Daphnia pulex: one gene and its partner. The protein of the gene in region 1 purifies or fractionates together with the protein of each later gene. This does not show direct contact. Links are inferred from orthologs where the notes say so. Each region holds a gene or a part of one and is shown on either strand. Other genes may lie near its edges. The genes, in order: regulatory-associated protein of mTOR-like and target of rapamycin complex subunit lst8-like.

Evidence for each region.
Region 2: the proteins of regulatory-associated protein of mTOR-like (region 1) and target of rapamycin complex subunit lst8-like purify together in Homo sapiens (affinity purification with western blotting; 15 studies listed by BioGRID and IntAct, with this or other methods). This does not show direct contact. The link is inferred for Daphnia pulex from reciprocal best matches to the Homo sapiens genes RPTOR and MLST8.

The regions. Positions count from the first base shown.
Region 1 is NC_060017.1:2,259,259-2,275,097, forward strand, and holds regulatory-associated protein of mTOR-like, read left to right. Parts: upstream 1-7,764; 5' UTR 7,765-8,003; coding exon 8,004-8,189; intron 8,190-8,325; coding exon 8,326-8,428; intron 8,429-8,498; coding exon 8,499-8,620; intron 8,621-8,691; coding exon 8,692-9,123; intron 9,124-9,194; coding exon 9,195-9,503; intron 9,504-9,574; coding exon 9,575-9,883; intron 9,884-9,937; coding exon 9,938-10,345; intron 10,346-10,418; coding exon 10,419-10,571; intron 10,572-10,634; coding exon 10,635-10,938; intron 10,939-11,003; coding exon 11,004-11,140; intron 11,141-11,202; coding exon 11,203-11,297; intron 11,298-11,360; coding exon 11,361-11,442; intron 11,443-11,517; coding exon 11,518-11,682; intron 11,683-11,751; coding exon 11,752-11,858; intron 11,859-11,922; coding exon 11,923-12,039; intron 12,040-12,107; coding exon 12,108-12,535; intron 12,536-12,602; coding exon 12,603-12,768; intron 12,769-12,848; coding exon 12,849-12,974; intron 12,975-13,037; coding exon 13,038-13,242; 3' UTR 13,243-13,973; and 3 more. Other genes in the region: kelch-like protein 18, read left to right, coding at 1-307, 415-574, 649-788, 860-1,107, 1,178-1,378, 1,445-1,553; protein SMG5-like, read left to right, coding at 2,220-2,296, 2,368-2,590, 2,655-2,887, 2,950-3,028, 3,087-3,193, 3,258-3,417, 3,478-4,665, 4,732-4,877 and 2 more; uncharacterized protein PB18E9.04c-like, read right to left, coding at 5,443-6,977, 7,037-7,124, 7,184-7,360; putative fatty acyl-CoA reductase CG5065, read right to left, coding at 14,900-15,017, 15,089-15,342, 15,411-15,654, 15,792-15,839. UniProt on the Homo sapiens protein: Component of the mechanistic target of rapamycin complex 1 (mTORC1), an evolutionarily conserved central nutrient sensor that stimulates anabolic reactions and macromolecule biosynthesis to promote cellular biomass generation and growth.
Region 2 is NC_060019.1:9,049,706-9,064,979, reverse strand, and holds target of rapamycin complex subunit lst8-like, read left to right. Parts: upstream 1-6,886; 5' UTR 6,887-6,998; coding exon 6,999-7,330; intron 7,331-7,397; coding exon 7,398-7,517; intron 7,518-7,582; coding exon 7,583-7,613; intron 7,614-7,673; coding exon 7,674-7,751; intron 7,752-7,835; coding exon 7,836-7,981; intron 7,982-8,040; coding exon 8,041-8,183; intron 8,184-8,252; coding exon 8,253-8,368; 3' UTR 8,369-8,492; downstream 8,493-15,274. Other genes in the region: uncharacterized protein LOC124191397, read left to right, coding at 3,901-4,306, 4,929-5,030, 5,115-6,157, 6,218-6,310, 6,376-6,804; N-acylneuraminate cytidylyltransferase A-like, read left to right, coding at 9,353-9,482, 10,273-10,425, 10,627-10,815, 11,283-11,436, 11,753-11,900; uncharacterized protein LOC124191396, read right to left, coding at 12,037-13,660.

The DNA of each region.
Region 1 (15,839 bases):
AATGCAGGAGCTTCTCAACCGAGATTCTCTATGCGTCACTGAAGAGGGGGCTTTTGAAGCTTTAATACGTTGGGTGAAGAAGGACTCCGAATCAAGATCTAAACATCTTCCCAACCTACTAGCCCAAGTTCGATTGCCTCTCCTTAGTCCAACTTTTTTGACGGACCGCGTTTCAAAGGAGGAATTAATTCGCAGCTGCCATCGTTGTCGAGATTTGGTTGATGAAGCCAAAGATTTCCACCTGCTTCCAGAACGACGTTCGATGTTCAAAAGCTATCGTTGTCGACCTCGCTGTTTTGCCGATGTGGTGAGAACTGACAAGCAAATGTTTTAATTCTTCAATATTAACATATATTTATTTTATATATTATTTATTGTTTTGTTTTGTTTTGTTTTGTTTTTTTTAATTTCCAGTCGGGTCTTTTGTACGCTGTAGGAGGATTGACGAAAGCTGGCGACTCTTTAAGTACAGTCGAAGTTATGGATCCTGTTACTGGCAGATGGAATCCAGCAGAAGCAATGTCTATACGTCGGAGTAGAGTAGGAGTCGCCATCCTCCGTAACAATTTATACGGTATAAAACCAAGCTGAATGTTACATAAATTGAGATTAATTGTAACTGTACATATTATATGTTCTGATTGTTAGCTATTGGTGGCTACAACGGTGTTGACAGGCTTCAAACAGTCGAAGTTTTAGACGGACCCAAGCGAATTTGGCGTGGGATAGGTTCCATGAACTGCAAACGAAGCGCTGCTGGAGCAGCTTCCCTCCATGACTACCTTTACGTATGTATAATGAACCTCAAAAATCAATGTACAACAACAATTTGCCAATCGCTTGTCAAATTTGTCCGCAGGTTTGTGGCGGATACGACGGTGTTACTTCGCTCAACACAGTCGAGTCCTATGACCCCTCAACTGATTGTTGGAAATGTGTTTCTGCCATGAACAAACATAGAAGTGCGGCCGGAGTAGTGGCGTTTGACAATCACATATATGTTTTGGGTGGACATGACGGATTAAGCATATTTGATTCAGTCGAGAAGTATAATCCCCAAACTGGTCGTTGGACTCCCGGAGTCTCAATGCTTTCAAAACGTTGCAGGTTTTCACGATGTGGTTTTCATGTTAAATCCTTTATCGTTTCAATATTTTTTTGTCAATTTGAAACACAGACTAGGAGTTGCTGTATTGGAGGGTAAGCTCTATGCTTGCGGCGGGTATGATGGTTCAACATTTTTGCGATCAGTTGAGGTTTTTGATCCAAAAACTGAGAAGTGGAACCATGTTGCCCCCATGAGTGTTACTCGTAGCCGAGTGGCGTTGGCAGCTAATGCCGGTCGTCTTTGGGCGGTTGGAGGATACGATGGCACTGCGTAAATATTCTTTACTTATGTTCCGCTGATGAAATAAATGTAATTTTTTTTTCTATTTCATTTCAGAAACTTAAATACGGTAGAGGTCTATGATCCGAAGATTGACAAATGGAGTTTCGGTTCTTCAATGTGCGCTCACGAGGGAGGCGTAGGTCTCGGAGTAGTTCCTTTATAATCCCATTGTTCAATTGAAACGAACTAATGAATATTTCTGATTTTAAACAAATTTTGATACTGTCAACGGCGACTTTTGAGCTTTTTTTTATTTATAAAGTGTGTGACCATGTTGCAGCTTTTAGAAATGCAATGTTCTGCCATTCAATAAAACCCTACCATTATGGCATTATCCCAATTAAATTTTTTGCTCTAAAATCATTAAATCGTTTTCTACGGCGGGGCCGGACTTTATTTTAAAAATGAGTCAAGGGTGGGATTAGATCAGATTTAGCAATTTTTGAATTTAGATCATGGTAAAACTGGTTCTACATAAGTACCGTGATAAGTGGAACTTTCTCTTGTTTGTGATTTTCTAAAATTTCTATCTCTATCTGCGTTTTTTATGCTCACCAGATGTCAGGTTAAGCAGCAGCAGAACCAGACGAGAGACGGAGAGAGTGAATTTCTTTTCTTTTAATGGAGGACTTTTAGGAAAATTTGTTCATTTAAATTAGGCATAATAGTTGTAATTGATTGAAGTTGTTGTTCAAAGGCGGTCCAGGACCAGTCCAGGACGTCATGGAAATCATCGAGTTTCATAGCATATTTAGTCATTATTTCTTATTTGGTTGTAACATTTTCCGAGCTAGGGCTGGCGCTACCAAGAACAAAACCTGACCAAACCATGGCAGACAAGAACCTCAATTCAAAGGCGAGAATGGCTTCGTCTACCAATAATGACACTATTAAAAAACTCATCTAGTAAACCTCTTATCAATTTTATTTTAATACTTGAATCCCAAACCAAAATTTACATCATTTTGGTTTTACAGCTCAGCTTCAATATTGGTGAAACAGTTAGATTCAGCTGTTGCCAAAGCTAGAGCATGCAGAGATCTATTTACTCCAGATATCATTGAGCTTCGAAGCCAACTTTCTTATCTCTGTGTGAAATCAATGGGAGCTGATCCAATCCAATGCCGACGTAGAGCTGAAGAACTTCTCTGGAAGAAGTGCTATTACGATGTGATAACTTCTACCAAAATTAATGGAAAGGTAATAACTATGCAAAATATTTTTAATGCCAATTACAGATTTAAAAAAAAAAAAAAAATTCTAGAAGTCACCCCTTACTTCAATGGAAAAACTTTTTATTGGATATCACATTGAATCGGGGATTGTAAAGTTTACTGAGCTTATGCAAGATGTTTGCCAAAAGCTAAAAAATGTGGACCCAGCCACAAAACTTACACTTCATGTTTTACCACTCTTGGAAGTTAAAATCCTTGATTGTGAAACACATAAAGAGTCCAAAGAAGAGTTAATGGAATCAGTCCAAAAGATTTTGGTTTGGTATGTTAAAAAATTTTGTCGTATACTTTGATTGTAGAAGCTAATCAAAATTTTGTTCAAAGGTTAGGAGATTTGTCCCGCTATAGAAATGATTTGGAAATTTCTAACAGTGTAATTACAGCAGAGCGCTTTTATCATCAGGTAGACAAACTAATTATCACATGTGTTTTTCATGTCTGTCAACTTTTTATTTATTTAGGCAGTTCTTGTCAATCCTAGTATTGGTCTCCCTTACAATCAACTTGGGACTTTGACTAGTCATGATCCTTCCAGAGGATGTGAATCTATATTTTACTATATAAGAAGGTACAATAGCACACTATTATGTTGCTTCTGTATGTATAATGTTAATACTTGTTTTTCTTTAAAGCATGAAAGCCTTAAAAATATTCCCTGGGGCTGAACCTAATCTTAAGGCTTTATTAGTACGTCTTGCCATGAACGAAGACAAACTGATTTCCGCTTTTTCACAATTACTTCCAAAGTTAGTCTTTGTAGGCAAAGAAGAAAATACTTTTGAAGTAAGCCAAGTAAGTTGAACAAAAATTCTGGTTTCAATGTTTGTGCATTAATTAATTGGTTTTTAAAAGCTGTGTCAGGCGGCCTTAAGCGAAATTCAAAAACGACTCTGTAGCAGCGAAAATGAGAGTTGTAACCAACTCTTGGATTTGGCTGCCTGCGTGGTGATGTGTACTGTAACTCCCGCTTCATCAAACCATAATCCAACAGCTGCAATCGCCTTCTGTTGTTCACTTTTCGCTCACGTTCTGAGCAAGTTTCAAGACATTTTCCATCTAAGCTCTGGGAATGCTGACCAACGTAATGGAAATAATGCAGATAAAGAGAAAGAGCCCGTCTCTGGGAGTAAAGAAGAAGCTGATGAAGATGAACTGAGTGACGAGGAGGAAGAAGAAACTAAGCGCGCTAAACTGAGAAGAAGAAAAATTGGATCTGGATCGTCTGATCAAGAATTTTCAGAGGAAGAGATATTTTTAGAAAGTAACTCTGAGCAGGATTCTGAAGAAGAAGAAGAAGTTTTATCCGATTCTGGTTTTCATTCAGCTGAAGCTAAACTTGAACCGCTCATTGAAATCCCGTCAGAAGCTGTATCTCTTTTGCCGATTTTTAAACTCTTGACTGATTGGTTACAAGCCAATGTTCAGGTTGTTCAAGTATCAAATCAATCCATTCGAAAAATGTGGGCAACACTAGCTACCATCCTCAACGTGTTTAAACGCTGTCAGAAAGAAGATGTTGATCAGTACCAAAAAGTTCCTTTAGAAGAAGATTGGAAGCTGTATGGACTGGATTCTATGAGCTTATTCCATGCTCAAATCGATTTTGAGTCTGTTCCTGCACCATCCAACATTTCAATTTTAAATTCTATTCGGATCGAAAGAATTCTCCAATTTGGCAATTGGTTGGCAAGTCAAGGCAACGAAAAAAGTTTCCGACTGGAAAACGGAATTTACATGTGTCCATCCGAAGCAACTAAAGATGAATCCCAGGAACTGGGAATGAAAGCAGATCTCATGATGAGAAACATGGCACACTTGTGGTTGAAGTCAGAAGTACAAGAGCTTGAACGGAGACTCTCACCTCAATTCAAAAGAAAAAAAAAGACAAACTTCGATCTTTCCACTTTATCTTATGTCTATTTGGTACCGGACGTCTCTGCTCTTTCAGATTTTACTCACCTCATAAAACAAGTGATCAAAAGCCAAAAGCTGATTGTAGTAGTACCTGATATTGTCATCTCGGAAATTGATCAACTCAAAGTATTTTCATTTACTTGATTGTTGATCTTACAGCATTTAATGATTTTTTTTTCTCTTGTTATACAGAGGGAAAGCTCTTCTGTTCGGGAATGCATTCGGTGGCTAGAAACCTGCTTTCGTACCGGCAATCGCTTTATTAGAGCACAGCGTCAAAACGAACACCAAGTCATCCCATTATTGACTTATCCGAAACGAAAAGATAAAGCCAACTGGTGAGCACACGAGCCATCTTTCTTAACTCCTAAGTGCTATTGATAATGATTAACCTTCTGGTTTTCTTTAAGGACATTGTTCCAAATACTGGAATGCTGCTGTTACCTGGATACAAACCAGAGAAACGTTTATAAAACTAGCCAGAATTCGCCCATTGTACTGTTTTTGTCCGGCAACACGGCTGAAGACACGGATCAACAAACCAGAGGGATTTGTAATTCGATTGGTAAGCACACATTTCAAAAATTATGTTAACCGAAAATTAAACATCTTTATTTTAGGTGTTGAATTTAAAACTGCAAATTCGTTGATGAAGAAAAGTAAGACGAAAAAACGCTGATACCGTCATGTATAACATTGAATTACGTATTACGTAGCCATATGTGTTTTGATTATTTGCTTGTATTGTAAGAAAAACATTTTGTTTCTCACTCTCCTCGAGTTTTAACCATGGACAATACTGAAACATCAAGAAGTAAACCGTAACTAAAATAATGAAGAAACCGTGGGGAAGTAACTTATGTTAAAACAAACACAAACAGCGCTGCCTTTCAAGTGAAGTAATTAAGAAGTTTGAGTTTCAGCGTCACGGATTTTGACTTTTCGAATAACGGTACGACAACGACAATGATGAGTGCATCTACCGTTAAATTTCTTGCGAACTGAAGTTTTCCAAGAAGCAACGCTTTGTTTTCTTTTTCGAGTAGTAAACTTTGGATTAGCTTGGTTATTACTATTTTCATTGGCGTTTGTAGTTCCGTCCTGGGGATGAATGAGGGAATGAACAGGATAGGTTGTGACCATTTTGCTAGATGATTGGACTAGACTAATAGCTTCTTCTTTGCAATATTCGTGTTGCTCTGATACAATTCCCTCTGTGATCACAACAGCGTGTTCTTGCTTAGGGGGCGACACGTATTTTGAGAAGTCCATTGACGACCCATTTGGAAATGATGTGCCAGGAATAGAAGTATTCAAGTTAGAAGTCTCTTTCATAGGAACAACTGTGTTATTTACAATAACTTTCATTTTCTGAAGGGGAACGGATGAGGATGACGCAAATTGCACGCGCCGTTGTTGAGCAGGAGTGACGACTAACGGCGGAAACATCGACCAGTTTACTTGAGCAGAATTATTATGATTATCAACGTTCGATCCAATGGGAGTTGTTTGAGAAGGTATTGTCGTTTTTGTGTCGTTAATCGATGTGGAGCACGGCAAATACTGAAGGGGAGAATCTTTCATTCCAGGGATGCGTTGATCTTTTGTTGAAAATCCGACGAGGTTCTCCTGGTGTGTTGCTGTAGTAGTAGAGCCCAAAGTTGGTGTTGGGTAGTGAAAATGTTGGTTTACATAATAAGGTCTGGGAGTTGAACAACCGGCAATGGAGGTGACAAGGGTATCTTTATTGCGTGGTGCATACACGCTAGAATCGTCATACTGCTCTCTGGCTGGAGTCGAGACATTAGCTTGATTCTCTTCAGAAAAGTTCTTTACTCTATGCTCAGCTGTACTACTTTCTTGGTCAGAAGTATAGAAATGAACTTGTTTTCGTTGAGCAGGAGTGACGTCTACTGGAACAAACATTGAGCGATTTTTTGTTGAAGGAGCTTCTCGATTATCTGTTTGAGTTCGATTCTTAAAAATTGAGTTTTCTTGTATTATGACTGGTTCGTCGGTAAGGGGTGTCAAGTACGGTAAATTGTGAAGGTTGGAATTATCCCAATTTTGTTGACAAAAACGTCGATCTTTGCTTGAATGTCTTACAGTGTTCTCGCGATGTATGACGGGAGTTAGAAAACTCAAATTTGGTGTTGAAGAGTAAGGATTTGGGTTGAGATAAGGTGGAGAAGGACATTCAACATTTGAGTTGCTGAGAAATGAACTACATCCTGACGGTGAACTTTCTTGTAGTAAAAGAACCTCACCAGGGTTTGAATCCTCATAAAGTTCATTAACCTTGTGACTTAATGGAACTTTTGTTTGTTCCTCTTCAGATGTGCTTGTTATGTGATGCTCAGCTGTACTTTCCTGGTCTAATGAAACAGGACTATATTTTGTACTTATTGATATGTCATCATTGCCAGATCCTTCAGTATCTATATAGAGTAACACAATTATTTGAAATTTTTTAATCGAGTAATGTATTGATGTAGACCTGATGAAGATCCACAAGGAATGTTGTGAAATGGAGTTCCAATCCCAAAATGACGTATTGAGATATCATCATTTGAAACTGCCTCTACCTGCAAAATACATATTTAATAAATACTCCCATCTTTAGTGTCATTAAATTGGCTGTTACTTTAGGAGGAATCATTGTAAACTTCTGTCCATTGATTGGGGAAATCTGACCGGTTTGTTCAAGATCGTCATGCTTCACGAGGTCAACGAGAATTATGCGACTCTGTTGTTGAAAGGCAGTTTTACGAATCTCAGTATTTAGCCGGAAACGGTGTTTGGATCCACCACTCCAGTTCATTTCTTTTTACTTCAATGTGACAATTAGAAAGCGAATACACAATTATTCATGTAATTTTCAATGGCTTTTGGCTTTCAAAAGCGTCCTTCATGACCAAGAATTTTCATGGAAATTCGGTCTGTTTTGGCGCCGCAGCCGGCGCTATTGAAGAGACATCTGTTAAGAGAGGCGTAACCTCCTTAGTAACCAGAGTACCAGACAGACTTTTTCCGTAAATTTTGTTTTTGGTGACATTTAAGGGGAATGGTGGGCCAGAGAGTAAACATACTAAAAAAAACAGACACATGAATTATATATAAGTTTATAATAAGGAAAAAAATTGGGGTGTATACGATTACGAATTCTGTGGGCCTGTGGCGTGCCTGTGGCATGAGAATGATGAGATAGCTTCCATTTTATGTCGAATAGAAAATGGCAACCTTGTGTAGTTGTGTTGGATTCATTTTTTCGTCGTAAAAAATAAACCAAAATCCGTCTGCACTCACACAACAAGAGAAACAATTTGAATTCGTGTCGTAATAATATGAATATATTGTCACTTCCAGTCGGGTGAATGTGTAGCTCATCAAGAGTTCGTTTTGTTTTGTGGTTTTTCAGATTTATCTAAATTTTTGGATAAGAAATCTGATAAATCGTTGAATAGATGACCATGTCGGGGGAGCTCTCGGTTTTCCAGCGTGCTCCATCACGTTCACCTTCTCCCGATGAACAGGGCCAAGATGAAGAAGATGAAGATTGGGCGATTGGATTAGCATTTTCTTCAGAAAGGCACACAGATAAAATTGAAGGATTAGAGGATTGTGCTCAAAACTGGAGATTAAAGGATCGGGTAACCCATGCATTTATTAAGTTACCTTTCCCGTCCAAAATCAAAATTTAAATAGCATTTTGTAATTTTTTCTCCACACAATTGTGCATGTACGGCTTAATAAAATAGGATTTCTTTTATTTTTTTTAAATTCAAGATGAAAACAGTAAGTGTGGCATTGATATTATGCCTTAATGTTGGAGTAGATCCTCCAGATGTAGTTAAAACTCAGCCCTGTGCAAGGCTAGAATGCTGGATAGGTATGTGATTTGTAAAGGGTTGTGTGTGTAGTGTTGTTGCTTTTTTAATGCAATTTTCCTCAATGTGTAGATCCTTTGTCTATGAGTCCACAAAAAGCATTAGAAGCAATTGGCATCAACCTTCAGAAGCAATATGAGAGGTGGCAGCCCCGTGCTCGCTACAAGCAAACTCTAGATCCTACCGCTGATGAGGTACAACCGAAAAATTCTTGTTTGTTTAGAAAAGAATAATTGTGATTAATGTTGTAATTCATAAATGTCAGATTAAAAAAGTAACATCTACTCTCCGAAGAAATGCTAAAGACGAAAGAGTGCTGTTTCACTACAATGGGCATGGCGTTCCGAAACCAACTGCCAATGGAGAGATTTGGGTCTTCAATCGCAGTTATACGCAATATATACCGCTCTCGATTTACGACCTACAAACTTGGATGTGGTCTCCGTCAATTTACGTATTTGACTGTTCAAACGCTGGCATGATTGTGGACGCGTTTCAACAGTTCGCGGATCAGCATCAGAGGGAGTACGAACAACTGATGGCTCAATCAAGAAACACATTGCCTTCTCAGATGACACCACCTCCGAATTTCAAACAGTGCATTCAGTTGGCTGCATGCGCAACTAATCAGATTCTTCCTATGAATTCCGAACTGCCAGCTGATATATTTACTGCATGTCTCACAACTCCTATTAAGGTAACTAGAATATGTTTTAAGATAAATTGGAAATTTAATGTACTATTCCATTTTTTCCCCTATATCAAAAGATTGCACTTCGATGGTTTGTTTTACAAAATACTTCCCGTTTGGTGCCCCGAATGACACTTGAATCAGTCGACAAAATCCCCGGGCAGCTTAACGATCGCAGAACTATGCTGGGTGAATTAAATTGGATTTTTACCGCTATAACTGATACGATTGCTTGGAATTCACTTCCACGGGACGTGTTCCAGCGCCTTTTCAGACAAGATCTTCTTGTGGCTAGTCTTTTCCGGAATTTCCTTTTAGCAGAAAGGATACTTAAGTCGTATGACTGCACGCCAGTCTCTTGGCCAAAGTTGCCTCCTACGTCTCAGGTTATTAGGATTTAAAGTTACCTTTTCACATTATTTAAATGTCTTATAATTTCGGCATTCTTTGATTTTAGCACCCAATGTGGTCTGCTTGGGATTTAGCTCTTGACATTTGCCTCTCACAGCTACCAGGCATTTTAGAAGGCAAGGAAACCTTCCAGAATTCCCCTTTTTTTGAGGAACAGTTGACGGCTTTCCAAGTTTGGCTTTCGCATGGGTCACAAAAGAGATCTCCTCCAGAACAACTACCTATTGTTCTGCAAGTTCTTTTAAGTCAAGTTCATCGTTTAAGAGCACTTGAACTCTTGGGGCGATTTTTAGATTTAGGCCCTTGGGCTGTCAATTTGGCGCTGTCGGTCGGCATTTTTCCATATGTTTTAAAGGTTTGCTTTTCTATTTTAATATGTTCTACTCGATAACTGAAATCTTCGTTTTAGTTACTTCAAAGTTCTGCGCGGGAACTGCGCCCATTACTTCTATTTATCTGGACGAAAATTCTTGCTGTTGATGTTACCTGTCAAGCGGATTTAGTCCGTGATGGAGGACACAAATATTTCCTCTCTGTTCTTCAAGATAATTCCGTGCCGGATGATCAGCGCACGCTGGCCGCCTTTGTGATTTCTAGAGTGGTCTGGAATCATCCTATCGGGCAGGATGCTGTTTCTCAAGTAGCTTTTATCTCGAATGCCCTGGAAATGGTCTATGAAAAGGATAAATTACTTAGACAATGGATCGTCATTGGAATTGGCTTAGCTTGGCACAATGCTATAGCTGCTCGTTGGTCGGCAATTCGAGACTCCGCTCATGAGAAACTATTTCCGTTGTTGCGAGATTCTGTTCCTGAGGTATTTACAACATTGTTGATTATATGACATTAAATCTGTCGAATTTCAGTCTTATTTGTTTATGTATGTTAAGGTTCGAGCGGCCACTGCTTATGCCCTAGGAACGTTTATCCATAGTGGAGGAAAGACGGAACGAAATGAACTTGCCAACAAAATTGATCACGCAGTGGCCTTACAACTGGTGAATGTTGTGAACTCGGAAGCTAGTCCTTTGGTTCGCAAAGAGGTATAGTAGCTTCTTTTCGCTTTGGGAATTGAATATTCGTTAAATTTAATTTTCTTTCTAAAGATCGTTGGCGCTCTCCAGTGGATTGTTTTGATATTCGAGTCCACGTTCATTCAAATGGCTGTTCAACAGATAGAAGAGGAAAAGAATAAAGACTCGAACAGTCTCTCTCCAAACGTGGAAGTAACGTTAACTTCTTCTGGTAGTCTACAGAGGCCCACGCGTCGTTCGCGGGCCTCCACATCCAATGCGATGAACCTAGGCACAAGTCCGGAACTATCAGATAGTGGTTTCACCCATTCCACAAACTCCGGGCATCCAGATCATATTAGACGAGCGGTTTCTATTTCCTCTCTCAGTAGCCTTAGTAAGATTTTAATAGTAAGCCAAAAATTGATTAAAATAAAATATTTCTAAATTTTATTTTTGCAGCGAGTTCCACTTTGCCTAGTCTTGCTTTTAACACTATTTACGTCAAACTTTGGCACGGACTTTCAAGCATGGAAAAAGATCCTTACCTGGAAGTCTCTACGATGGCAAAGAAATTAACGGATTATGTGCGGAATAAGGTATTTCCTTTTTAAAAATTACGCAGTTGGTCAGCCACTTAAACATAACATGCATATTTCAGGCTAAAGAAGTGATAGCTTCACGGGAATCAGACGTTAGTCGTCAATATACGTATTCCAATTCGAGTAACGATTCTATGGATAAATCCCTCTACATGTAATGCTGTATACTATTACAATACCTCGTACAAATAACGAATATATTTGAGACTTGTTTCAGTGGGGACTCTCCTCCACGGGCCCTTGTCCAACGCACTACTCCCTCATTCAACAGAATCAGGAAACGAAGCATACCATCTACAGTAATAACATTTTGAACTGGCTTCCTCAACCGAATGTTTCTTACTACTACTCAATTATTATTTATTCGTTGCTAGATTGTGGAAGAAGGTGAAAGTTCCAAAGAGTTGAAGGATCCTTTAGTAGTAACCGGATTTGTCGAATGGTGCGCTCGTCATTTTGCTGAACCAGCTGCGTCTAATGAAGATTTTCAAATCAATATGAAACCCAATCACGAAAAAGAATTAACTATTGAATTCGAAGTACAACCTCAACATGGATTCTATGATTTTTTAGAATTATTATTGATATATTTTTTTGTTCTCAACTAGATATGCGGGAGAACACGTGAACGAGACACTGAAATGTACTACACGCGCGAATGGCGATATACAAGAAATGCTTCCGTTCGCCATGAAGCTAAAGAAGAATGTCAAAGGTGAACTCAATTTCAGGGTTTTTACCTGGTTTTTTAATTTAAAATTCTATGTTTATTTATTTAGACCAAATAAAGCAAAAATGAAAGAGGTTTTCTGCAATCGGAATCCACTGGTACCTTCAGTTATCCGCTTTCATCCCTACGATCCTTGGCTTGCTGTAGCAGATAAAGAAGGATGCACGTAAGAAACAATTCTTTTATGGTGATAAAAGTTTTTCTGTGCTCGACGAAAATTGTTCTATAATGCAGAGTATGGGACTGGGAAAGAAGCGTCCGTCTTGTCCATTTTAACAATCAACAACAACCCAGGGCTGCTCGAATTACATCAATGGATTTTGTGAACGGACATGATGATGCGTTACTTCTTATTGGTGCAGATGATGGGTCGTGCAGAATCTGGCGGGATTTTATTCGAACAGGATCTCGATCAGCAAATGCTGTTGTCGAAGATCACACTGGAGTTTCTCTTGTTTCAGCATGGAACTGTATAGCTGAAATGGCACCATCGACTCGATGTTCCGGTCTGGTTTTGGATTGGAATCAGGATTCTTTACAATTGCTAGCAACAGGCGATGTTCGCTTGATCCGCATTTGGGACGTAGAGCGTGAATTGAAAGTCAGCGACTTTCCTACTGGTTCAGAAAATTGTGTGACCTCCGTTCATCATAACCCGCGAGGTTTTGACCAAGTTTAAGAAATTTATATAATCGTTTGCGCAAATTAAATTGATAATTTTGTCTTCAGATCGATCGCTCTTTGTAGCGTCATGTGGAGACGGATCAGTCCGCCTTTTTGATCAGCGATGCAGCGCTGCAAAATCTAGAGTTATGACTTGGAGGGAGCATGCTGCTTGGGTCATAGATTGCGAATGGATTTCGGTTGAAGGAGGTGCCAACTTAGTGAGTGGCAGGTAACAATCATCTCATCGTATTAATCGTTACATTGTATGAAATTACGTTTGATAACTAATAGTTGTTTTTTTTTCTCAAGTCTGGCGGGTGACATCAAGTTCATGGATCCTAGAAATCCCAACTCGGTTCTCACCGTAGCCACAGCGCCTAATTCGCAAGGAATGACTGCCATGGCAGTCCATCCCAAGGCTAACTTATTTGCTTGGTAAAACAGCTTTTGTGTGGAAAAATGCTTATTTTCACTAACATGCATCGTTTTCATTATTAGTGGAATTGTCGGGCAGTACATTACCGTACACGACCAAGAAGGAGAAGTGCGTTCTACTATCGCGTATCACGACGGCGGTGGTCTTTTGGGCTCCAAAATTGCAGCTGTCTCCTGTTTAACCTTTCATCCACATCGGGTGTGCCTCGCTGCTGGAGGCATGGACTCGATGATTTCTGTTTTTTCTTCAGATAAGTCAAAGAAGTAGAATGGTTTGCTTTTGTTGACTCACCGTCAAGATTCGTCGTTTTCTTTTTTTCTGTTGGAGATTTTTCAATTCGAGCCGCGAGACCTCGCATATGTTAAATACCCAGTTACAAACAATCACTATTGTGAGCGAAAGATTCAAAATGAAGCATCCTCTATATTAATTCATGCACCGAATTAAATTAATTGTGTATCTTAAATGTATTTTTTTTTGTGTGTGAAGCTTCCTGCTGACTTCTTATCAGTTTATTCATTGGGTATGATTTTCATGTTATTATATCGAGCTATGCTCACGTTACACAAGATAAGTTTACATGCCCATGCTGTTTGGGTCGACGTTCTCAATCCATGTGAGTATTGGGTAATACAAAGTAATTGAATACCAAAAACTTTGTCGATGAATTTCCGTCGTCAGAATGTTTAGACGACATTGTTCGACTTAAGTAAAAAAGAAAATGTGATGCTTCGGCTTTGATCTTTCTACCCGTTTATCAGTTGTTGCGATAAGGTTATCGGAACGGAGCTTTTCCGTTGTACTGATCAGCTGGTGGCCAGATCAATCGTTTATGTGTTTGAACGCAGTGAAAACCAACGTCGCATTAGCCTTTGTTAACCTCGTATTGAAAACGGGATTAAGTTGTCAAACTCACCATGAGGATTCCCAGGTTTACTGAGAGCTGGTGTGGCTGTTCTCTTCAAACGGGGACTAAAATTATCAGCATCTTTTCTGTGGTACGTTTGGTACACCTTGTTACATGTAAAACTCTTTTGATGCTTATGATTATGTACATATTATCCTTAGGTAGTAAAGCTTCTTTTAGTGATTTTACTGAGTATCGCATGTGCCTCCTTCGATGCCCTATACAACGGTCCCCATGACGGTAGATTGTCTTGAAGAACTTGAAAAGACGTAAACTAATGTTCAATATTGAATTCTGCAGGAAAATACAGTGCAACTTTAGCGGTACTGATAGTATTCCTTATCGCCTCTATGTGTGATTTGATGGTTTCGTTTCTTTTGGTCATGGCGGCCTATACGCAACGCCCAAATCTGGCAAGGCCGTGGCTCGTAGTTTTTATGGTTTCTCTAACAATTGATGTCGTTGTTTTTATTTCGTCTGTTACGAACGGAGACTTAGCTGTTGCCATCACTACACCAATACGGATAGGTGATAGCCGTTTTGTCATAACTTTTTTCTTCAAGCGGATGATAATAGATAAGCACTTACGCATTATTTTTTAAATGTAACCACTAGGTTTTGGCCTATACTTTTGGTTGGTTGTCTATAACTACTGCGAAGAACTTCGTGGGATCCCAATTATAGGGACCGATTACGGAGACGCGGAGAGAGCCCAAGAAGATTCTCTGCTGAGACCTTATCAAACATTATAAAACTCACGTTCCGTGACCATCTACTAACAACTCCAAACGGAAAGAGTTTATGAAATTTACAATACCTTTTAATGAACCTGGAAACATTATAGAATTCACATTTTAAAAAAAATCCCAAACTGTGTATTGATTATATTTTACATGATTTCACCGCAATATTTTTGTATCTTTTATCTCAATATAATATAAAGTCTTGGTGCTATATATTACTTCTATCGGAGGGAACGAGAAGATTCGTGCACCTTTATCACTGCAGCTGCCAATTTTACAATAAAGATGGAAAGGGGCTTTGGAAAAGACTTCTGGTTTTGAATCGGTTGACCACGGAAAGAACAAAACAGAGCGACATCAATGAGCGAAGAAAGACTTTCAGGACGTACATTCTGCGCATATGTTTGAAGCAAAAATTAACTCTAATGTTTTTTAAAGTTTGGAATCAAATGTAAAATATTACCTGACGAGGGTTTTTCTTGCTTGCGGAAGAGTGCTAGGGTCGTCTTTGAGAATAAACAGCCGGATCCCTTGGACGTAAGTTTCAAAATAGCTACGCCAATTGAGTTGACGGACATCAAAATCAAAGATTTTTCGATCGGCTGTCGACATTTTGGACTGGATCGTCAGCGAATTTTCACTAACAAACTGCCATTGGTGGCTATTAAAAAAGCCTAAGTTTGAAATTGCCCTAAAAACTCGTTCATACAATTTCACCTGTTTCATATTCAATTAATCTTTGTTATGAAAACAAATATTTATTGCATTTTTAATATTCTGGGTACCATTTTAGCTCGTTTGCCAAAAAGTTGGCTGGTGAAGTCCAGAAGATATGCTGGTAGATAATGGGTGAGAAAGACATTGATTCTGAAATACCAATCACGGTTGGTGCATTCGCCGCTTGGGCACCACATAATCTCCTTCGGCGGATATTTAGTGACAGCTTCTTCTGAAAACGACCTCATTTGATGGATGGTGATCGGATTGTGATAGCTCGTAGAAGACGTATAAACAGTGAGTTGTGAAGGTCTGTAACAGGAGACGTATTCAAGGGTCGATGACATTTGGAGAAGTAAATAACAGATAGGTAATACTCATTCCGTGTTTATGACAGAGTCACGGAGTAGTGCAACAGTTATAAAATAAATAAAAAAAATTGTCGTTACTTTGTCGTAGCTTGATGCCAGGCGACGGCTATTATAAGGTTGACAGCA
Region 2 (15,274 bases), on another chromosome or scaffold:
ATGGTTTTAATCACTTTCTCATGCCTAATATCAAACAAAATTAAAGACATAGAACTCACTCTTCAATGTCATGCCTTAACCAATATGGTATCCTGCATCTTGTCATCAACATTAGTTGCAAACAATTTGTACTAGAAGGATGGCGTTCATTTAAATTAGATCTGAAAATCAACAACTTGAATTAAGTACAATATTCTTTCAATACTATAAACCGAGAATACCTCACAATAAATTGTAGACAGCGGAAGAACGTTTCTCGTTGGAATCACTTTTCAAAATGGCTTATCAAGAAATTTTGAGACACTTCTTCAACTTCATACAGCAACGCCAGACTTTTCTTCTCGGTACTCGCAGCGCTCGCGGCATTCACAAGTCGGAGAGCAGCCATCTAATGGCAATTTTGAAATGCGAAGGCAGGAAGGCTGATAATTCGTTACGGAAAAATTTGTGTAGTCCCCAATTGCATTAATAGATATTCAGGAAATGACAACAATAATTAAGTTAAACACTTGACTTTTTACTTTTTAGAGCAAAATAAGCAGCAAATTCTATTCCGCCTCTTCACTTTTTGCTACTGTTGTTATCCATCTAGTGAGTAAACTAATAACTTCGATCATACTATTTTCGCCATTAAAAATTGTTCCTTGATGGCGTCTCGTCATTAGAAAAGAATAAAAATGGAAAATGTCTGAGCTTAATAACAAGAACTGCATTATCAAAAATTGTTTAAAGGATCCTGCAGAAAAAACAGCCCTTTTTCGTGTGCCAAAAAATTGTTTTTTGAGATGGAAAGAGTTGGTATCAAACGAAAAATTCTCTAGTAAATCTCGAATATGCAGTCGACACTTCGATGAATGTGATATTAAAAAGGGGATTTACCTTCTTGGAGACTTCTATCCTTTATCCGTTTGGAGATTAAATTCTGGGGCTGACCCAAAGCATTTCCTCGGTAATTATTCTATTTTTAACATGACTTAACGACAACTGAATTGCATTTTCGTTTGAAGACTTGCCGTCAATCAAGCCAACCAAAAAAAGGAAAGTTCTTACAGATGTTACGTGCGACTCTGGTTTGACGATTCCAGCAATCTCAAAAGGTATAAAATTTTAGGTGTGTTCAATCCTTTAAAACACTGAAGATTGATTGCACATCATAAACATAATCTTAGTGATAGGGTAATGTCTCAAAATCTGGACAGGCCTGAACGCTACAAATTTTGGACAACCGAAGAAATTTTGGTTTAAAAGTCCTATATGATGAGCAAATATCGCGAAAACTATGCCATTATGAAGAATTTTTGCCATTCTATCTGGGTTTGCAAAATATTTACTCTAAATGCCTGAAATCTCAGGAAATTATTAAAATAAAAGTTCTGAAAAGAACTTAGAAAATATGAAGTTTCTTGGCCTCATAAATCAAGCTGGAATAACATTTCTAGATGATATTTCTTGCTGTTTTAGGGCTCAAACGAAAGAATTTTGTTCATTCTTCACATTTCAGCACTTCAAACTGCGCCAAAACTGCAAATTCATGGAAGAAATCTAAGTAGAAGCTTGCTGGCGATAAATCCCATTACACAAAAGCTGGACAACCCCCCCTTTCTAAATCTGGACAACTGTAGAAGCCACAGGGTGTCGCTAGTTGAGGTGTACGCCACATTTCTGGCCAAGCGTTCTTTTTAATTTCAGCTTCTTGACATCTGAAAGCAATTATGTTTATCCTGATCTCATTCGTGTCTTATCTATACATTCAATAAAATAGACTATAATAAAAAAAATAATTGCTTTATTTTGCGATTGCATTTAAACAATTTCATAATTTAGCAAGCTTCCACGGTTGTGTGGTAAGGTGCTTTCTTTGGTAATACTTTGGATTTTGGGTGTCTCAAGGTTCAAATCCAAATCTCAACAAAAATTTTTTCATGAAAATAATTTGGAAATTGCCTAAGGGTGTCCAGAATTTATAACACGCTAGGGATAGCGTGGAAATATATTCTTTTTTAAGCTTAGATCATTAACCAAAATATATAGATATCTATTCTGCACTAAATTATCATTCGTAGCCGTATCGGTATAGCGTCCACCTGTTAATCGGCCTTTTCTCGTGGCACAGGTTCAAATCCTTTTTGCTCCAAGAATTTTCTTTTTATAAAGTATTTGGGCATTGCCTAGGGCTGTCCAGAATTTATAACACGTTAGAGATGGCTTGGTTATTTTTTCCTTTTTTTATCTTTGATCATTCTTCAAATTATTACAACATTTGTCATTCAATTAAAGAAGTCATGTAGCTAATATGGTAAAGTGCCGTCCTGCCGATAAATTGGTTTTATCATCAGTATGTATGTTCGAATCCAGATTCCGTTAAAACTCTTTTTCATGAAATAAATTTGGAAATCGCCCCAGGCTGTCCAGAATTTATAACACGCTAGAGATGGCTTAGAATTTTATTATTTTAAAAACTTCTACTAATTTAAAAATCAGATTAACATCAATTTCATTTTCCGATAACCTATATAGCTATGTCGGTAAAGTGCTTACTTCCTCATTGTGATTACGATTAAGGCCATGGTTCAAATCCCATTCCGAAAAATATTTTTCATGAAATATATTATGAAGCGGAGAACGCCCAGAATTCAAAATTACTTTCATGAAATTGATTTCTATTGAAGTAGGATTTGAACAACGGCGCCGATAATGACGACCGTTGGAAAATATGCACTCTACCAATAGAGCTATAGCGGCTGTTATTGAGAGAAAAAGATGTTAATATGGTTTGAAAAATTATGAAAGTTTTAAAAATAATAATTTTCTAAGCCATCTCTAGCGTGTTATAAATTCTGGACAGCCTGGGGCGATTTCCAAATTTATTTCATGAAAAAGAGTTTTGACGGAATCTGGATTCGAACCTAAATACTGATGATAAAATCAAGTTACTGGCAGGACAGCACTTAACCATTCTAGCTACATGACACGTTATAAAGAATGACAAATGTTGTAATAATTTGAAGAATGATCAAAGATAAAAAAGGAAAAAATTACCAAGCCATCTCTAGCGTGTTATAAATTCTGGACAGCCTAAGGCGATTTCCAAATGAATTTCATGAAAAAATGTTTTTGCTGAATCCTGGATCCGAACCTAGGAACTTTAGTTATCCATAACCTCTCAGGCAGGCCCTCAACCAGTTTAGCTACATGGGTAATCTCGGGGCAAAGCAAATATTGAAATAGTTTGAAGAATCATGAAAGTTCCCAAAATAATAAATTTCCATGCCATCTCTAGCGTGTTATAAATTCTGGACAGCCTGAGGCGATTTTCAAATGAATTTCATGAAAAAATATTTTTATTCAATTCTGGATTCGAACCTGGGAACTCTTGGTTGTCCTTAACTTTTCAGGAAAGCCTTTAACCACTTTAGCTATGTGAGTCGAAAATTTTTCATGGTAAGGGTAACTTTAAACCATAATGCTGACCAATATTTTCAGCATAGACTATGAAAATGGTCTTAGATCACTCTGAGAGAGGTATAAATTAAAACTGAATTGATGAAAACGTTATTATTATGGTGCCACTTTATGCGTTTATTTTATCACAATCACAGTCGAATCATTCAAAGAAGACCCGTTTTATTAAGTTGTGGTTTCTGCTCATAGATGGCGCTGGTGGTTGTCCAGAATTTTTACAAACTGTCCAAGATTTTTGGCGGTTGTCCAACTTTAGGAAGACGTTTGGCCTATCTCAAGCACGCAAATATGACATAGCCACAAAAGTGTCCAGAATTAGTGACACTACCCTAAATATTTAATTTTTTTAAATCTATTTCGCGTGAAATAATTTCATAACATGGTCTTGTACGGTATATCCAATTATCCAGAGCCATTAACTATGTTTACCGGTCTCTTATGGCGGAATATTCTCTCGGAGACGGATATATATATATTTATTATAACATATGCAAAAATATTATGCGATGTATATCTCCCGCTACTAGCGGCGATAGTCTCAACTTAATACAAAAAATGGCGAAAGCTAAGCCATCGTCACGAAATTGTATAGTTCCCAATTGCATTAATAGATATTCAGGAAACGCCGAGAATAGAGAGAATTATACTTTATTTGGAGTGCCAAGCAATAGTTTCAATGCATGGCAAGACCTAATGCCAAACGTAAAATTACATAAAACATCGAAGCTGTGCTATCGCCATTTTGACGATTCTGACATTGTCAAAGGGTACAATATTCTAGGTGTGTTTCATCCTTTCATCCGGTGGAGATTAAAAGAAGGCTCAAATCCCAAGTATTATATTGGTAATATTATAAAATAATTGGGTAATTTTCTGTACAGAAGTTGGCGTTGAACACTCGTGTATAGTATATTGTATTTGTTATTTAAGAAAAATGTAGTCTGCTAGTCTCGGGGCGTCTCACCTGTGTCTGTCGGTGTCGGGAGTCCCGAAGTTTATTAGTTACATTGCCGTTCAACAACCTACTAGTGAATTGTTTTAAATTGTGTAACATTGTTTTGTTAACATGGGGAAAAAAGAACACAAACGGTGTTTTATTAGTGGTTGCTACGGGAAAAGGGATAAAGAAAATGCTCATGTCGGAGTTTTTGGTGTGCCAAAAGCTTCATTAAAAATTTGGCAAGACATAATTCCAAGGGGAGGCTTAACCACTTCTTCGAAGATTTGTAGTCGGCATTTTGACGACGACGATATAGAAAAAGGAAGAACAATTCAGGACAAATTTTACCCTTATTCTAGATGGATGCTAAAGCCTGGTGCTCTCCCAAAACATTTTTTAGGTCTGTTTTTTTACAGCAATATAGAGAAGAGTTTAGATACAGTTTTACACATTTAGATATAGTTAAACGTTTTAGGTTTTACTTGTGATTTCAATTTTGATTGTATTTTATTTTTTTGTTTATCAGGACATTCATCAACAAGACCAACAGTGGCCAGCTCAACATCACAGAAATCAAAAACCACCCTAAAAAATTCCTGTAGTTCTAAAACTTTGCCAATAGCAAAAGGTAACTTTGCATTGCTATTTGTTATCTGATTCTTTTTCAATTATCAAATACATTTTTCATTTTTCATTATGTAACTTCTCACAGATCCACCTTTATTGTTACCTAAACCTAAAGATGGAAGTGGTTTACCTATTCAAACTAAGACTGTTCCGGAATCAAGCATCAATTTTTCAGGCCCAAGCCATACTATTCCTCTTCCAGTTGATGGGCCTATAACTCACTACATCGTCGTTCATGATAATATTGCTGTACCAAATAAACCCACACTAACAGTAGACGGTGGGCTAAATGTAAATGGTACTCTGAGCAATTTGGTCACACCTACGGTGCAAAATGATCGTATGGATGTTAGTTCTTCTGCGTCTTGCAGTTTTGACCACAGCTACGTACTGGTACCTCCACGAACACCAACTTCTCTAGAAGAGAGTGCTGCTGCGTCATCGACATTGCGCAATTTCGAATCAGCTACATCTCAGGAAGCACAAGAAAATGCTGGCCCAAATGAATCGGATCACAATTACGTTATTCGTTCTTCTTCGACCCCTACTGTGAATGAGGAGGAAAGTTTCCATTTGGGTATGGCGGGTTACCACAACTTCATTAATGGTGTCGTTACTCCTACAGCTGAATGGACTTGGTCCTTCAACGAACGAAACAACAATTTAGTTTGTTCTTGTCATATTTTTTCCCATGACGGTGTGATGACTATAAAATCTGTTAAAATTGTCACCATGACCAAAGTTGCGTTGTATCTGAATGGAAAACCCATCACGCCTCCAGATATGCAATTTGAGTTTCGAAGTAAAGCTGATTTAGCAAATATTCTTGAAGATTTCAATTACAGAAGAACATGTCAAGGAATTGTGGATGATTCGCTAGCAGATACCGAAGTGACGGGTAAATGTGCTGGTATCAAGGAAGGCAATTTGTGGCGCTCAAAAATGTGCATGGGAATTGCAAACCCTCCTGCTTCCGCTCTCTGTTCAAAATGCCGCGTTTTTAAAAATTATTTGAAGAGAAGTACAAATAATCAGAAGACCAAGAAATTGAAAAATTCGAAAGAAGATTATAAATCGAGGTTGCGTTCCACCAAGCAAAGGTTGACACGATCAAATTCTAAAATTGAGGTAAATTATTGTTGGATTTTTTCTCGGAATAATCCTTTAATAGTTCTTTCTGAATTTCAGGCTCTTTCAGGTACCATAGAAGGTTTGCGCAATGAAAGGAAGAAGCTTTACTGGAATAGCTTTGATGTGAAATTAAAGCTTTTAAAGCCCAAAGTAATGATTAATTGATATGTCAAATTTCTCTTTTCAGCTAATTTACAAGAATTACTCACTTTTAGGAACAGCTAGTTGTTAAAACAATGATGGCCAAAGCAACAGTGAATCCTGGAAGAAACGATCGATTCAGCGCAATGCGTTACGATCCCGAATTTCTCAAAGAATGTTTACGAATCAGAAACAAAAGTTCTTCGGCGTACAAGCATTTAAGATCCGAAGGCATTCTTCCCCTACCGAGTCAGAATACACTCTTAAGAATCATGAAAAAAACAGATCTCGGTGATTCTAATAAATCAACGCAACCGGATCCACAAAACGTCTCCGCCGAATCAAATTTCATGGAACAAACAAATGTGGAAAATGAATGTCCTGCCTTACCCCACTTCACTGAGTCCGTATCGCCTACACCTGAAATAATGTTGCTACATTCAGAAGAAATACCTGTGTCTGTACAAGAAGAAATGATTGTTGAAATCTTGTCGGTTCAATAAAATGTGATTTAAAACTTAAAAATTTCTCTTCTTTTTTTTTAATTTCATACCTTTCGTAATTTGGCAATGCGGCCTTGGGCTCGTAGTTTGAGTTTCTGATCGTCGTCTGCTAGTAGAGTGATTTCAGAAGAAAAACAATAAGGAAATTTATTTTGTTGGTTTGACTTAAACGTCAAACAATATAATAAAACCTTATGGGTAATAATAATGGAGATCAAGTTATATTAGCTACAGGAGGTTATGATCACTCAATTAAATTCTGGCAAGCCCACTCGGGAGTGTGTACCCGGACGGTAACACATCCCGAATCGCAAGTGAATGCTCTCGATATCACCCCCGACAGCCAGCTATTGGCAGCTGCAGGATACCAACATATTCGCATGTATGAAATCAACTCTTCTAACCCCAATCCCATAGTCAATTATGAAGGTATTTCACGAAATGTGACTGCTGTTGGATTTCACGAAGATGGACACTGGATGTACACTGGAGGAGAAGACTGTTCTGCAAGAGTTTGGGATCTTAGGTATCATGTTTCCTCGTATTATTGGAAAAAACATAGTTTGATTGAGTTCTCATTTGTGTCATTCTAGGACAAGAAATTTGCAATGTTCCAGAATATTTCAAGTCACTGCCCCTGTAAATTGTGTTTGTTTGCATCCTAATCAAGGTGAACTATTGGTAGGAGACCAAAGTGGTGTCATCCACATCTGGTGAGATTTTACGTACCTTTCTTATTCTGTTGGGAATGATTGTAACACATGGATTGCTTATATAGGGACCTGAGAACAGATCACAATGAACAACTGGTTAGTATTGATACCTCAAGTATTTCCATTTCCATAATAATATCAATCAAATACTTACAGATTCCAGAACAAGATGCCTCCATTCAAGACATTTCCATTGATTCTTCTGCAAACTTCATGGCAGCCATTAATAACAAGGTGCCCATTATTGATGTTTATTCTTAGTTTCCCAACCAAGTCTTGAGATGTTTTTTTTCCTTTTCTCTCTCTACACAAATAAAGGGAAACTGTTATGTTTGGAGCCTCATCCCTGGGACTAAACTGCCGGACGGCGAAGAAGGTTCGACACCAACACAGTTGCGACCGAAAAGCCGTTTGTTAGCTCACAAACGTTACGGTCTCAAATGCAAATTCAGCCCTGACGCAAAGTATACGTTCGCCTCGTTTTCTTTGAATTTCTTTTTCAATCTTACAATTGATCTCGCAGGTACTTGGCCACGACGTCAGCCGATCAAACGGCCAAGTTATGGAAGACTTCCGATTTTTCCCTTCATTCCACACTGCAAACTGAAAATCAGCGCTGGGTGTGGGACATTGCCTTCTCTGCCGATTCACAATACGCAATAACAGGTACTTGACTCTTCTATTCTTCATCCTGGTTTTGTCTGCCTGTCTTGATGAAACATTTCGTTTATCCAGCTTCGTCCGACAACACAGCAAGGCTGTGGAGTATAGAAACGAGCGAGATAGCTAAAGAATACATTGGTCATTCAAAAGCTCTTACCTCATTGGCATTTCAAGACGGGACACCGTAAATTGAACATTTTACCATAATTTTCCCTTTTTTTTGGTTTTTTTTTTTCTTCTATTTTTCTCAAATGTATAAAATGTTTTTCATTGGCTTTGATACACTTAGGAACGCCTGAATTTTTAATGGTACCGTCCCACCTCACTTGTAGAGGTTGATTCATTTGGTAGAGCGGGAATCAACTCACCTATCTTGTGTCGTATTGGCTTTGGCCCCCTCAATCTCAAGACAAACGTCAACGTCAAATTGGATTAACATTCAATCAGTCGGGCGTAATGGGTTTGGGATGGCGTGACGAATTTCAGCCGAATGGAAGCAACCAAGCGCCCTATCCTCCTCTATTCATGTCAAGTCATCCATTTCTACAGTCCAGCAGAAAGGAGAAGGGAATAGTCTCGCGTACAACGAACGTGGGGCTCATCTATCAGTATTAATCTCCTTAGTTGGACACTAGCCTCGATTCTTGATGAGATTACCGAATTCAGGGCACCGAGGATGGACTTGATCGCTCCCGTGCCGGCCATTGTTTTTTCCAAACATCTTTCTTCCGCTCCTTTTTTTATCAGTTGGTTTTCCATCACTTGAATGTCCCATCACTTAAACCACCAATGCGGTGGACCGGGTTGGTCGTCGCATTAATCTCATGTCGACCTCTGATGTTTGATTCCGTAAAAAGTGCCAAGACTCCACATGCGTGCTGGCATCTAGCGACCAATAATAGCAGCTAACAGATTTGATTTCAGGATCCTATCGATCGGCGGCCGGGTTGCTGGCTCTTCTCTTCCGAGGCGGTGGTTGGGGAGAGCACACACAGCTTCCTCAAAAGAAACAAGACGTTATTTACTTTTGTTGGCTACGCTTACGTGAGACCCAGTGGAGTTTTAACTGCTGATCCAGGCCGGCTGAGAAGTAGAACCGAGAAAGAAATCCTGAATTATTGTCCGTCATAACAGAGGGATTGCTTTAGTTGCAGTGTCGAGACCAACTGCTGATGACGATGCACGTCGCCGGATTGATCCTTGCACGGGGAGGCAGCAAAGGAATCCCGCTCAAGAACTTGGCCTTACTCAAAGGCACGCCGCTTCTTCTCTGGGCGCTCAGGACCATGTCACAATGCAAAGGTAAATTACTACTGTCGCTACTATGTAATTCGATTTTAGTTTGTATGGCCGCAACCCCACAATTTTCTCTTCCAATGTTGAGGGTAACATTCTCCTTCCCGGCCGACATACGTGCAAGAATGAGATAGGTGTTTCTTTCTCCTTCTCGCAGCGCTTCAATTGAATTTGGATTGGCATTTTTTCATTGGATATTTGAGTAGGAAGGTTTTTTCATCATGTGTGTGTGTGTGTACAAGGAAAGCGAGATAGACGTCTAGCTGTATGCTCATTTGTGCGTGTCTAAAAGGGATGCCGAATGCAGTCATTCAGAAGGAGACGATCCGAATTCTGCGCCAACTGAGGCTGTTGGTGGTAGTCAGACTGGAATATAGGAGCGTTTTTCGTCTTCGTCGTCGTGGGGGGGAGAGAAAAGGCAACGGAGCGTGCTTGGCTCCAATACTACGCCCTGCCGCTCCTGTATAATAATAATATAGCTCCTAACCTTTTCTTTTCTTCTTCCTTTTTACAATAAATATATATATATGATTGGATGGTGGTGGTAGTAGTAGTTTTGTGTGCGTTACCAGGAGGATTGGAACGCCAGCGCAATTTTTTTTTTCTCTCTTCTCACCCGGCGCATTGCACGCAGCGCCTTCAATATGTGTGTAGATCCCAAAAGAATTTAGAAACTTTTTCCTCGCTGGTCCCTTGTGAGTCGAGTGATGAACGCCCCCAAGTTGTGATGTAAGGCGCGTTGCCAATGGATCGATTCAACTTGCAGACTCGGAGATTTGAATGTTCTGCCCAGCAGGTTTGACTTCCATTTGGGTGTCGTCCGACCACCCAGACATTCTTCAATTGGCCCTTGAAAACGGAGCCCAGGTCCATCGCCGGTCAGCCGAGACGTCGTCAGATGGAGCCACTTCACTGGAGGCCATCAACGAGTTCTTGGCCAGTCATCCGGGTATGATATTTACTGTAATAATAACGATGGGTACATCAGTGGTCTCGTCCAACAAAAAAGGCGTGCACAGTGTAACGATCGTCGTCGTCGTCGTCGTTGTCGTTCATCATCAACCTCGCAACAATGATTTGCTGTGCCGCTGATGCTCTTCTTTTCTCTCTCTCCCCCGGCCTTTTTTTTTCGGTGCCCACATACACACAGAAGTCGACGTGGTGGCATTGATTCAGTGCACGTCGCCTTTCGTCCGCGTTGCGCATTTGAACGAAGCCATCGCTAAAATGACGGCCGGATGCTGTGACTCGGTCTTCTCCGTCACGCGCTCTCACTCGCTGCGCTGGATGCAACTTGCAGAACCAAAAATCGAAAGCAGCAGCAGCGGCAGCGGCAGCAGTGAGTCCTTCGGTTGATTTTCTTGACTTTTTCTTTCAACAGTTGTGCCCAATTGCTGCAGCAGTTTCCCCATGTCCTGAATTACTGATGCGCACGTTGCCGTTGCCGAGTCCATCCACAGCACACAGTCCAGTCCGGGTCCTTCCTGTTCCTAGACATGGGCATTCTACTGATGCTCTGTCTAACCTATTCCGGCCTAATACCTCCGCTGTAGCTGAATATCCTCCCTCAACATGTCTCTTTTATTTGTAGATCCTTTCATCTCCGGGTCCTTCTTCCTCTTTCGTCTCTATATAAATACGGCCAGCTCTTGATGCGCTCGACATCTTTCAGCCTCTCTTCTTCTTCTTCTTTTTTAAACTTTTCTCCCGTGTCTCCAACTTTCTCTTTCCACTTCTTTTGATGATGTGGTACTACTTTTCCTCTTCCTCCCGTTTTCTTTTTCTGCCTCCACTTTTTGGGATAAGGAGCGACGGTGGATGCGGCAGAGATCCGGGCGGTCAACTTTGATCCTCATTGTCGACCCAAGAGGCAGGACTGGAACGGCGACTTGGTGGAGAACGGCGCGTTTTACTTGAGCTCCGTTCAACTTTTGCGACAAGGACTCATTCAGGGTGGAAAGTAAGTGCCACCCGTTACTATCTTCTCCCCGGTTTCTTAATTTCTCCTCCTTTTCAAAATAAGTGAACCGATTGATTTTTGAGAAAGACACGATTACCTGCATAGAAAATTCCCATTTTTATTATTATTATTATTCATCTTTTTCTTATTGGAAATGCTCATTAGAAACTCTTGAATGATCATGTACACGTAATACGATGCAGTGGAATGGCCCTTAAAATTAGATAACACAGAGATCAAATATGTACAAATTTTTTTTAAAATATTTCATAGAAAACAAACCAACAAAACTTTGTTATTTTGTTCCTGTTGCAAGGATTTCCTTCGTAGAGATGAGCGCAGAGTGCAGCATTGATATCGACACCGGCTACGATCTGTGGCTGGCCGAGCAGCAGGCATCCTATTTCAACATTGAGCCCGGTGGTGGCGAGTACATTCAAACATTTTTTCCCGCCACTTTGTGATTTGTCATGCAATGAGATTTGATTTCCTGTAGACTGCATTTCATTTTTGGCAATAAAATGTTTCGCTTCCGCACTAGTATTCTCAAACGGTCGTCTCCAGATCCAGATCGTCGCTCTCCAAAGTGCTGGCCGATTGTCAAGAGACGGCCATTTTCTTATCGTAATGGTACAAGGACGGAACTTTGTTTATTCCATCCGATTTGGATCCGCCGCCGCCGACTATCTTGATGTTAGGACCGCCGACAACGACCGACCGATTGCTGCCGATGATCCCGTTGTCCGGTTGTTGGTAGACGTAGTCGTTGAGAGCCGCTACTGGCAGCGGCCGGAAAGATCCTCCGGCGGCACCTGGCGACGACTGCGACGGACTGGAAACGAGCCCAGCAGGATCGGTTGCGTTGTTCTGATCGTTATAACCGGGCTGTTTGAGCGGATGCTGACCGTTGCGACAGACCATGACGGACGAAACGACGACAAAGAGGGACAGCAACGTACTTCCGGCTGCAATCAAATACCAGTAGACTTTGGGGACGCTCCACGACGAGATTCGGGTGCCGGGTGGTTGATTGTTGTCGTTGTTGGATGTTGTCGGGGTCGAGTGCAAGCACTGCTGGTCTGATTCGTCGACCCCCGAAGGGCAATCGTAGACGCCGTCGCACCACAATTGAGAGTCAATGCAGGCCTTGAGTTCCGGGCACCAGGTGGAGCAAAAGAACCACGGATAGAGTTGCTGCGACGGAGGTGATGAAACGGAGCCGAGATGAGGTATCACCACTCCAGTCAGCATTGATTTGTTGTTGAAGGGGTTGAGGACGGATTGCGGTGTCAGTTCCAGCCATTTCATCGTGTACGAGCCACTTTGAATGGCGATGAATTCAATCACGACGCCTCCGCTCACGTCCTGCGACGATTGGTTGCGCCATTCGTCCTCATTCTCCAGGTCCAGGGACTTTACCGCGTCCTCGGCGTTGAACGTTGAACTGAAAATCTTGACTCCTCCTTCCGGGTTCAGAGACGGGCAAATGACGGCAAGCGGGCGACCGTCAGCCTGTCTGTCCGAATAAACGACAATTCGATTCTTGGTGGGGCAATCGATAGCAGCGCCGGATTCTTCTTCTCCATTCGATTGATTATTCATGAGGAATCCGTTGGCGGATAGGAAAAAGAAACGGTCGGCTCGGCTCGGCAAAAGGAACCAACTCTGTCGATTGCAGACGGAATTTTGTCGGCCCAGCGTCAGGCCCCGCAGCCCGTCCAGTTTGATGATTCCTCCTGGGCCCTGCAACGGCTTCAATTCTGATTGGCTGGCGCATTTCATACCGCTACTCGTTCCTGGACTTCCCCCGAGGAATTCGTAAGAGATTTCGAAAAAAAAATCGTGATAGTCGTCGGCGTGAGTCATTCCCGTCACTTGGAAGACGACTTCGACAGCGCTGCCCGTCGAGACGTAACGGAACGGCAGCTGGAGGCCGGCAGTGTCGCAGAGACAGTCCCTCTGGAGAAGGACGTTGTGTCCGGCAGTCTGCCCTGCCCATGGCCGTTCCCTCAACTGGAGGAAAGCCGTTGAGGTGGTAGTGGTCGATCCATTGCCGCCAGCCGCTGCCGGCGAGTAATCCGACCGTAAAATGTGACAGCGGCGCTGGTGGGTCAGCGGATCCAGGCGACTGTGGCACTGACTACCAGGTCGTCCCCCGAGGCGAAGGCGGGTCACTTCGACGGCCACTCGCATCGTCTCCTCTCCCTGGAACCGATAGACGCACCTAATTTTTCATAGGGAAAAAATAAAACAACAAAAGTTGGAATGAGAAAATGTCCATTTGGGTAATGAATTTCATGCTCTCCGCCGAGGCATACGTGTAAGTCGTCCGAAATGAATCGGGACAGTGTTATGCGCAGCGATTTATATTGTCTTTAACAGTAGCAGCTAAATCTCTCTATGGCGTCCGTCACCGCTTAATAGAGTGTTACACAATGGTAACCATGGGGGCGCGCGGCCTGCCTTTACATAAATCATTCAAGCAAGTTGTTGCCGCTGAAAACACAGAAGAATGGGAGGGAAAAAAACCGTGTCCAACATAAAAATGTATTCATCTCTGTCTCGCTGTATAAGATATTGTCCTCTTCTTCTTTTCATCCCCAATTCTCTTTTCAATATGAAAACGAAAAACAATTTCCCATTTCTTGGGTTATTGTATTCGCTGACTGTCAGCAGAAAGAATAAGCAAATAGAAATCGCGAGAGGACCATCTCTTTTTTCGTTGAACGATCGATGAATTCAACAAAAAACAAGTTACCCGCCAGTCTCCATTCGGTGTCACCAGGGAGAATTCAAAAGTTAAACCTCTTTTTTTTTACTGTATTGAATATACACACAAAGAAACTGGCCGACATTCATGACGAGTTGCGAAAATGGCAAAAATAGCAAAAGTCTAAATACACATCGCAAGTTGATTCCATCGCAGCGGCTGACGAGTCCCTGTGGATTGCACATGGCTCCACCCACTCATTTTGGTCGGACGAAACCAAGCGGGAAAACCAACGTCTGTTAACAGTCTGCTGGAAACACAACTTCTGGCTGTATTGTGCACCTATTTCCCCCCGGCAACCCGACGATGTAATCGATTCGGGCGGGAGGTGGAAGTATTTGTGGTGTCCAGTTTCTGTCTGAACGATTACAGTAAACCGTTGCCTCCCGCACCGCCTTGGTAGAATGTTCCCAACTTTTTAAATTAAAAAAAAATGATGAAGATGACTTCAATCCTCATACTTGGTTGCGCTACGATGCTCTATTTAGAACGTGAATGATCCTCAATCGCAACGACCTGCCAGTGGCCTACGCTGATTGCAACTTCAGTCGACGGAAATCAAAGACAGGACGGAACTGTAGGCGAATCAAGACCACAAACCCGCCTCATTGTTATGCCATAATCATCTCTGCAAAACGTCTAATTGCAATGCTACACGGTGTAATACCCGGCGGGCGACTGCTTGTAAACACCCAAATATCTGCAACATTCACGAGAGTGTTATTGCGCTAAATTATAGCGGCCCATCCAATGATGAGAAGGCGAAGTGAATATCAACCCGGCAAGGTTATATCGCGCCTCGCATGTGTACATCTAATACTCTCGTGAGTGAGAATCAAAGCACAGTCGGATGCTCTACAGTGTATGATTGATGGGATTTGGCAAGCATTGTTCGTGCCATCCATCAACATTTGCTTTAGAGACTTTATCACGAGTCTTTGCGCCCCCAGGCGTTCGGTGGCTGGCCTTTTTTTTTGTATTATTGATCGGTACTCGACTATCAGGTGATAGTTTCTTTTAATAGCGAATTCTATTTGGGTTGGCAAGTCCATGAACGGCACGAGACTA